2 linked regions of the Oryzias latipes genome follow. The protein of the gene in region 2 interacts with the protein of the main gene of each other region in a biochemical or structural test. Links are inferred from orthologs where the notes say so. Each region holds a gene or a part of one and is shown on either strand. Other genes may lie near its edges.

The links.
Region 1: the proteins of dyrk1a (region 2) and dcaf7 form a complex in vitro, tested with the Homo sapiens proteins (2 studies listed by BioGRID). The link is inferred for Oryzias latipes from reciprocal best matches to the Homo sapiens genes DYRK1A and DCAF7.

What each region holds. Positions count from the first base shown.
Region 1 is NC_019866.2:4,064,989-4,069,396, reverse strand, and holds the start of dcaf7 (DDB1- and CUL4-associated factor 7), read right to left. Parts: upstream 2,917-4,408; 5' UTR 2,669-2,916; coding exon 2,531-2,668; intron 2,272-2,530; coding exon 2,113-2,271; intron 1-2,112. UniProt on the Homo sapiens protein: Involved in craniofacial development. Acts upstream of the EDN1 pathway and is required for formation of the upper jaw equivalent, the palatoquadrate. The activity required for EDN1 pathway function differs between the first and second arches.
Region 2 is NC_019871.2:12,327,977-12,331,626, forward strand, and holds part of dyrk1a (dual specificity tyrosine-phosphorylation-regulated kinase 1A), read left to right. Parts: intron 1-1,120; coding exon 1,121-1,317; intron 1,318-1,574; coding exon 1,575-1,667; intron 1,668-1,983; coding exon 1,984-2,172; intron 2,173-2,334; coding exon 2,335-2,482; intron 2,483-2,571; coding exon 2,572-2,858; intron 2,859-2,983; coding exon 2,984-3,130; intron 3,131-3,350; coding exon 3,351-3,491; intron 3,492-3,601; coding exon 3,602-3,650. UniProt on the Homo sapiens protein: Dual-specificity kinase which possesses both serine/threonine and tyrosine kinase activities. Exhibits a substrate preference for proline at position P+1 and arginine at position P-3.

The DNA.
Region 1 (4,408 bases), on a different chromosome or scaffold from region 2:
TATTTTTTGGGTTTAAATAATTGTTCTCACAAAAAGCAGACTATTTCTTACGTTGTGCTGCAAATTGTCTTGTGACCTCGACTGGAGCGGCAAAGGAAAATGATATATCCACACCCAGCAGCCAATCAGAATTAAGTATTCTTTCAGACCATGGTATAAGCATGTATAAACACTGGGGCTGGGCGATATGGTCTAAAAAAATGTTTTTAATTGATTTCTGATTTTTTCCGATTTTCCCCCCTACCTAAGGAAAGCAATAAGTACAAACGGCAGAAAACTTAAAGCAAATTTTGATTTATTTAATCAAACGCAAGACAAATGTAACCCCCATTTCTGGGATGAATAATAAATAAATGAACACACTCCGGGAATCAAAGTCCCAGCTGTGTTTTAAGTCAGACTTACACCTTGAGAGTAGCACCATTTCTAAAGGATTAACAATACAGCTCATATCTGGGGTCTAAGGTTTTAATTGAATTAATAAAGCCCGTTTTCTCCACAGTATATATGGGTACCATGTCTTTGGCTGTATGCAAAGCGACCGCTTCAGTGATTGTTCTCCACCGTGCCCCTAGGGATGGGTACTGAGCCCCCGTATTGAACGAGCCCCAGAGCAACATTCTTCAAGATCTGACCTCAACGGTTCTGCTATCCGTACTGGAAAAGTCGCATTTTTTCTGTGTCCCACAAGATATAAACTAGAGCTGTCACGGTGTGGGATTTTTGATCACCGCGCTGACGAAGCAGCAGGAGTCGCGGTCAACCCCCCCGCCTAACACAACATCCGGCATCGCAAATGAATACACAAATAAATGTAATTCATAATTGCAACGCAGTATTCTTTATTAACAAATAACAGTAAAAACTAACTACGAAGTAACTAATGAACTAACCATATAGGTGTTGGAGAATGAGTGTGCGTGTCAGCGCACTGCGTGCGTGTGTAAGAGGAATGAGCGCGTGCCGCGCGAGAGTGAGTGACAGCGTGCTGGGGGGGGGGGCGTTCATGTTTGGAGTTACGGATTGAAGGAGAACTGTAATAAAAGGTTTCCCCCAGGTGTTGGAATAGGTTTGTGGTGCTGTTGCCTTTGACTGCGATGGGCTTTAGGCAAATGTTGCAGCGTGGGGGGGGGGGCTCTTCCTCCACGTCGGTGGCAGTAAGCCATGTTGTCGCTTGCTGTTTCGTGTGTGCTATGATGTTGTTGTTTGTCGCTTGCCACATTGCCGTGTGAAACTAACGCTACGGAAGCTCCGGGGAGCCAAAAATGCGCCATTACACAAAAACTCGATTCAGTTATTTTTGAAATCGCCCGTAACAAAAAATTCGAATTAATTCATTCAATCGATTTTTCGCCCAGGCCTAATAAACAGCATTGCGTGTGTTTTTAAAAAATACTTAAACTGATGTTAGAAGCCAATTAACAGGCATATATGTAACCTGCCAAATGATACTTTTAAAAGAAACTGTGAGGCATCACAAAAGTTAGAAATGGGAGGAAAAAAAGTATAACGACAGGTTTCATTACATACATGGAGCCTTTGTCATAGTGGTTCAGCATTATAGCTATAGTTCAGGGAAATTTAAAAAAAATATATACAAATGCTGTGCTTTTTAAAAGAAAATAAAGAGGTAACATACACCTTTTTATTTAAAAAAAAATGCTCCAGACATTTAGTTTACTTTTACTTACTTACAGTTCTATCTCATTTCAAAATAAAATTTCCTCACTTCTTTCACTTTTGTCTCTATTTTGAATTGTATTTATGTAATTTTATGTTTAAATGTGTTCTATAATCTATTTTATAATTTATTTATTTTTTTGATTGTTTCAAGTCTATAAAGCACTCACTGTTGTATGAAAAATGCCCTATAAATAAAGTTTCATTTGATAATTGTAACATTATGCTTACAGGTCTGAAAATCCCCTTTAATATAAAAGAGTTTTAACACATAAAGCAGCGATGCGGCAATGTAAAGCATGACAAGTATAAGTTCCTTCAAACACACCGATGTAAAAAAAAATCCCAAAGTGAAAAGTACTCGAGTTACAAAGAGATGACCCAAACAAAAACATGACAGACGCAGCAGGTGACCGGGGTTTGACATCCTACCCTCCAAATGCGCAAATAGTCTCCACTGGTGGCCAGCAGGTCTGGGTAGACCCCTTTGGTGTCCGGGATCCACATGATCTTGGTGGTGGGGTAAGGGTGATCAAACGTGTTCCTGCAGACAAACTCGGAGCTCTCCTCTTCCAGACCCACCAACTGAACCTGAGTAGAGATATGATGACAAGAAAAAAATAAAAGCGATTCGTTCTAATAAAAAATAAATTAATTAATTAATTAAATTAAATTAAAAAAGGGGTACCATTAAGCATCGATGGAGACGTTATTACGAAGATAATAAACGCAATAACATTTTGCAATACCACTCTAAACATGTACAGAGCTAGCATAGCACTGATTCAAGCGCGTTTGTTCGTGAAGGGTTAGCTGACTCAAAAAACAAAACATAAAACAAGCTACGCACCTTGTTGTTATACTCTTCCACAAAGCTCCCGAGGGCCAGCCGAAAGCGTTTATCCGGACGAACGCTCCAGTTCATTGCGTACACCGTCCATGGCGCCTCGTACTTGTAGATTTCTTTTCTTTTGCCGTGAAGCGACATCCTCACGAGCTGTTGTCTGAGCAGCTAACACGCTAGCCCTAGCTTACTGTCAAATAAGAAAACGCCGCGACGAACTTTTACCGGCTCGTTTTCCTATAATAGAAAAGCATCAAAAGAAGCACGGTTGACTGTTAAAAACGTAAATCTTGTTCTAAAACAAGATTTTACAGCACTTCACTTAACAAAGAGTAGCATTGCTTGTTACGATCTTGATGGCGAACCATCTAACCGACGTATGAAGAACTTCCTGGTTACACTTTCAAAATAAAAGAGAGTTTTTAAAGAGCACTCATTAAAACTTTTAGTGAGAACGTTTGAGTTTATGTTGTTAAATTAAACATGTGTTTTATGAATTTAATTATAATTAAAATAAAATTTACGTAATTTTTTTGCTATGTATTTCTCACTGTCAGGCTGTGTTTCAAAATAGTTTTATTTTTAACGTGTCTACCGGAAGCGAAATTATGTAGTTACGTCAATCTTGATTACTGTCTGCAGTTGTGACCATAAGGGGGTAAATACAGTTTACAGGCTTCAAGATTGTTTTTCTTGTAACATCTTGTCTACATATCCTAATGAATTTTATGTTTATTATACGATGCAGCGTCAATGTTTACTTTCTAACGAATGTGCAGTCTTGTTTCTATGTTTAATTTTGACACATGAACCGGAAGTAAGATTATTCCAATTTGATTGAGCCCTTTTAGTTGCTTTTTCTGTCCAAAAAAATATCGTATACCACACCAAATATCGAACCTCCTTGTGACGGTGTGGCACTGTCAGCTGGTTTTGAAAGGAACTTGTATTTGTTGCTGTCAAAAGTATTCCTAGACAATTTATAATTCAATTAATGTAAAGTTTATAAACCATGGTATGTTAATGAATGGCTTAATTACCACAACAAGTGGCCATTAAAGTCCTCAATTTTTCACCTCTGCTCCCTGAAACATTCCGCTTAAATTCCTCTCATTTAAATGCAGCAACTTTGTCTTGCTGCAGCTGATCTTCATTCCTCTGCATTCCAGAACAAATCTCCTAGATGTTCCTCCACCTGCTCTCTGCTCAGATCGTGATGTCAACTGCAAACATCACGATCTATAGAGGTTCCTTATCTGCCAGTTTGTCCATCCATCATCACAGCAAACAAGAAGGAGCTCAAAGCTGATGGTGCAGTCTCACCTCCAGCTTGAACTCTTCTGTCACACATACAGCACGTCTTATGTCTTCCAGCTCTAATGGATGTCCTGAACAACTCAAACATACTTCTCTATCACTCCAGACTTTCTTATACAAATGACAACTCATCTTGCAGTAAAAACACTCTATTGGTTGGTGATTTAAAAAAAAAAAAAGGAAATCTTGGTGTGTCTTGTTATCTGTCACTGCAAGAGAACACATGCTAGACTTCTGGAAAAAGTTTTCTACATCGTTGCTTTTATTTTGAAAGGCAAGTCATGTCACTGGCAGTTTCCTGTCTCAAACGGAACTTTACTCCAAGGACAGTTTCAAGTTCTTTTCTCCTAACCAGCTTCGCGTTCATTGCTATACTTTATCCTCAAGGTAGGCAGCTTCTTCATTATTTTTGGTTTACACTCTGTTTACAAATCTCACTAAATATATAGCAGTTTTATATTGATCTAGAACACAGGTTTAGTTCAACGTGACAGTGTGTCAGGCTTCCTTAGCTAGCATTAGCCAAATGCTACGTTTGCTAACAGATTAAAGTGAGTGAGAGTTGGG
Region 2 (3,650 bases):
TTTTTTTAGGTTTAAATATAACCTCTATATCTAAAATAGAAGTGAAAGGACTCCCACTTATGTGTTTAAATTTTATAAGAAAATAAGTCAAATACGTAGCGCCTTATAGCACCTCAAATATAGTGTTGCTCTCTGCTCATCTTACAGCTCCTTTTATTTCTGTCAGTGGACGGGTATTTCTTTACTTTTCTAAAGCTGGGTCAGCTTTCTTATGCTCTCATATGAAGTGCAGGTTTTAGGCTGTGCAGCTATTTTGCTGTCAGGCTCTTGTGTTGAAAGCAACGTCTAAGTGTGCCAAAGTTCAATTTTATTTCTTGTTTATTTCTTGTTTTCTCATTGGAAAATGGGAGCAGCTCTGCCCTGGCAACAAAAGTAGGCTATTTGCATACTGCGTTGTGATTGGTCTGTGCGTTGATGGGCTTGCCAAATCACGCTGTATCTCTGTGGTGATAGGCTATGCTAATTAGGTGCTGTTGCTGGGATTCTGAATAGTGGTTACTGTGTAGCACTGGTGAATTGTGTTGTCTGGTGAGAGATGCTGATAGCTGAACATGCTATTTAATAATTTTTTGATTCCTTCTGGCTTAAAATGAAGGATGATTCACCGTACAGTGTGGAGATGCTGTATTCTCACCCCTTTTCACTGTTAAACTGGCTGTTTTTTCCCCTTTTCCTCACAAAGGTTGACATATTTCTGCTGTGTTTTGATTTTTTTGGGGTTGTCCTTTGATTGCATTGTTTAACGTGTACATGTTTAACATAGCACTGTGTATAAACCTGACATTTAATTCTTTAATTTACTAGATTTTGCTGTTTTTGTTGGTGTTTATCATCATTTGAGATTGATTATTAACACAAATGTAAATAATGCTGTTAATTTGCATTTATAAATTCCTATAGATAATTTCTTTTCATCTTAAACTAAGCTGAAGTTTTTTTTGTAAATCTAAACAACAAATAATGTTTCTTTATTATATTGTTTTACCTGTAAATAACATAATACATCTTGCTGGCTTTCTTTGTAGCGTTAAATCTCTGATGACCTCTTTTATTTTCCTTTTTCACTTTTGTATGTTTCTCTGTTCAATGACTTTAAAGGGAACTTTAATTTCCTTTTTAGGAGGAGAGACTTCAGCATGCAAACCTTCGTCCGTCCGGCTTGCGCCCTCTTTTTCTTTACACACTGCTGGTCTTCAGATGGCTGCTCCAATGCCCCATACGCACCAGCAGTACAGTGACCGCCACCAGCCAACCACTGACCAATCTGTTACGGTTTTACCGTACAGCGACCAGACACCACAGCTCACTGCCAATCAGGTACAATCACCCTTCCCACTGCCCTTTTAGGATTTACAGGAATAGCTAAACTTAATTGCACACAAAAGTTTGCTCCCTTTTTTTAAACAAGTATCACTAGGCAGAGTAGCTGCATGTCAAATGTCTTTCTGTGTAATTGTGTCACATTGTGTTAACAGCTTTGAAGTTTAAACACAAACCCTGTAAGAGGAACTTTTTACTTCTAAAGTTGTGTTTCTTTTGTTTGTTTGTAAAATGTTGTTGTACTTTTATTTCAGAGGCACATGCCCCAGTGCTTTCGTGACCCAACTTCAGCTCCCCTGAGGAAGCTCTCCATCGACCTTATCAAAACATACAAACACATCAATGAGGTGAGGCTTTGCTTTAGTAAAAGTTCAAATCATTCTTTGACATTTGTTTTCCCCTTGTTTTAAGATGTTTGCTATTTCAACATTCTTTTTTTTTAAATTGGTAGTCTTTATTATTTTATGAATTTGTTGTTCATAAAGATAGATATTTTTAATTTATAAGAAAAAAACATTATTATTCATTTAAAAAAACAGGAATTTTATACATGAAAAACCTAATTTGTTGGAGCAAAATCCAAAGGAACATTTAACATTTCCTGAAGAAATCTCTGCATGTGCTTTTCTGAAATGCATTCAATTTTCTTTTTTTCTTTTTCAGGTTTATTATGCAAAAAAGAAGCGGCGGCACCAACAGGGTCAGGGTGAAGACTCCAGTCACAAAAAGGAGAGGAAGGTTTTCAATGATGGCTATGACGATGATAACTATGACTACATCGTCAAGAATGGGGAGAAGTGGATGGACCGCTATGAGATCGATTCCTTAATAGGAAAAGGATCATTCGGACAGGTGAGGAATTAAAACTGACAGTCTGTTATTTGTCCACTTCTAAGGGGTTCCAGCTTTCTGACCTTCCTTTTTTTGGTTTTAAATCTTGATGTTTAGTGTAACAAATGTGCTTCAGATATAATACTTTTAACATATTTAATACTGGTTTTGTTCAATTCTCAGGTTGTGAAAGCTTATGACCGAGTAGAGCAAGAATGGGTTGCCATTAAGATCATTAAGAACAAGAAAGCTTTCCTTAATCAAGCCCAGATTGAAGTGCGCCTTCTGGAGCTTATGAACAAACATGATACGGAGATGAAATACTATATTGGTAATTTACTTTTGATGTCCCACATACAGAACAAATCCAACGGCTTGCAGTGTCAGCGACTAACGCGTCCAATTTTTGTTTCTTTGCAGTCCACCTGAAACGTCACTTCATGTTCCGTAACCATCTCTGCCTCGTGTTTGAAATGCTGTCATATAATTTATACGACCTGCTTCGAAATACCAACTTCCGCGGCGTCTCACTCAATCTCACCCGGAAGTTTGCCCAGCAGCTATGCACGGCACTACTCTTCCTGGCCACCCCCGAGCTCAGCATCATCCACTGTGACCTGAAGCCCGAGAACATCCTCCTTTGTAACCCCAAGAGGAGTGCCATCAAAATAGTGGACTTTGGCAGTTCATGCCAACTGGGACAAAGGGTATCTACCATCATATATTTCATCTGCTATACAGTCTATGTGTGTTTGTGAGAAATGGTTTGCAATTTTCAACAAAAGCAATGCGCTTTACAGTCACCCTCACTTCCCACGCTTTGTGTTTGTAGATATACCAGTATATCCAGAGTCGCTTCTACCGTTCTCCAGAAGTGTTGCTGGGAATGCCCTATGACCTGGCCATCGACATGTGGTCCTTGGGTTGCATCTTGGTAGAGATGCATACCGGAGAGCCTCTATTTAGTGGAGCCAATGAGGTATAAAACATGATAAAAATATCAAAGACATATGTGGAGCTTATTGATAACAGGAATATCGAAAAGTCACCTTGTTTGTAGTTCTTCAATAAAAAAGTACCCTTAAAACTGGATTTGTAAGCCGTGGTGTGTTCCTACAAGAGCTTAGAAGCATTTTGACATTTACCCTCATTTATAATGAGTGCAAATACTTATTAAAAGATGCATTTGGTTTCTTCAGGTGGACCAGATGAACAAAATAGTCGAGGTTCTTGGCATCCCACCCAATCACATAATGGACCTAGCCCCAAAAGCCAGGAAGTTCTTTGAGAAGCTTTCAGATGGTACATGGAGTGTTAAGAAGACCAAAGATGGCAAAAGGGTGAGTTGACAGCTTTAACGCCAACTGATGGGTGCTGATGACGGAACTGTCTTGTTTGATGTCTTGATATGCACATTAAAAAGCTTTACATGTCTTTGGTTTCTTTGTAGTATAAGCCTCCAGCTTCGCGGAAGCTCCACTCCATCTTAGGTGTGGAGA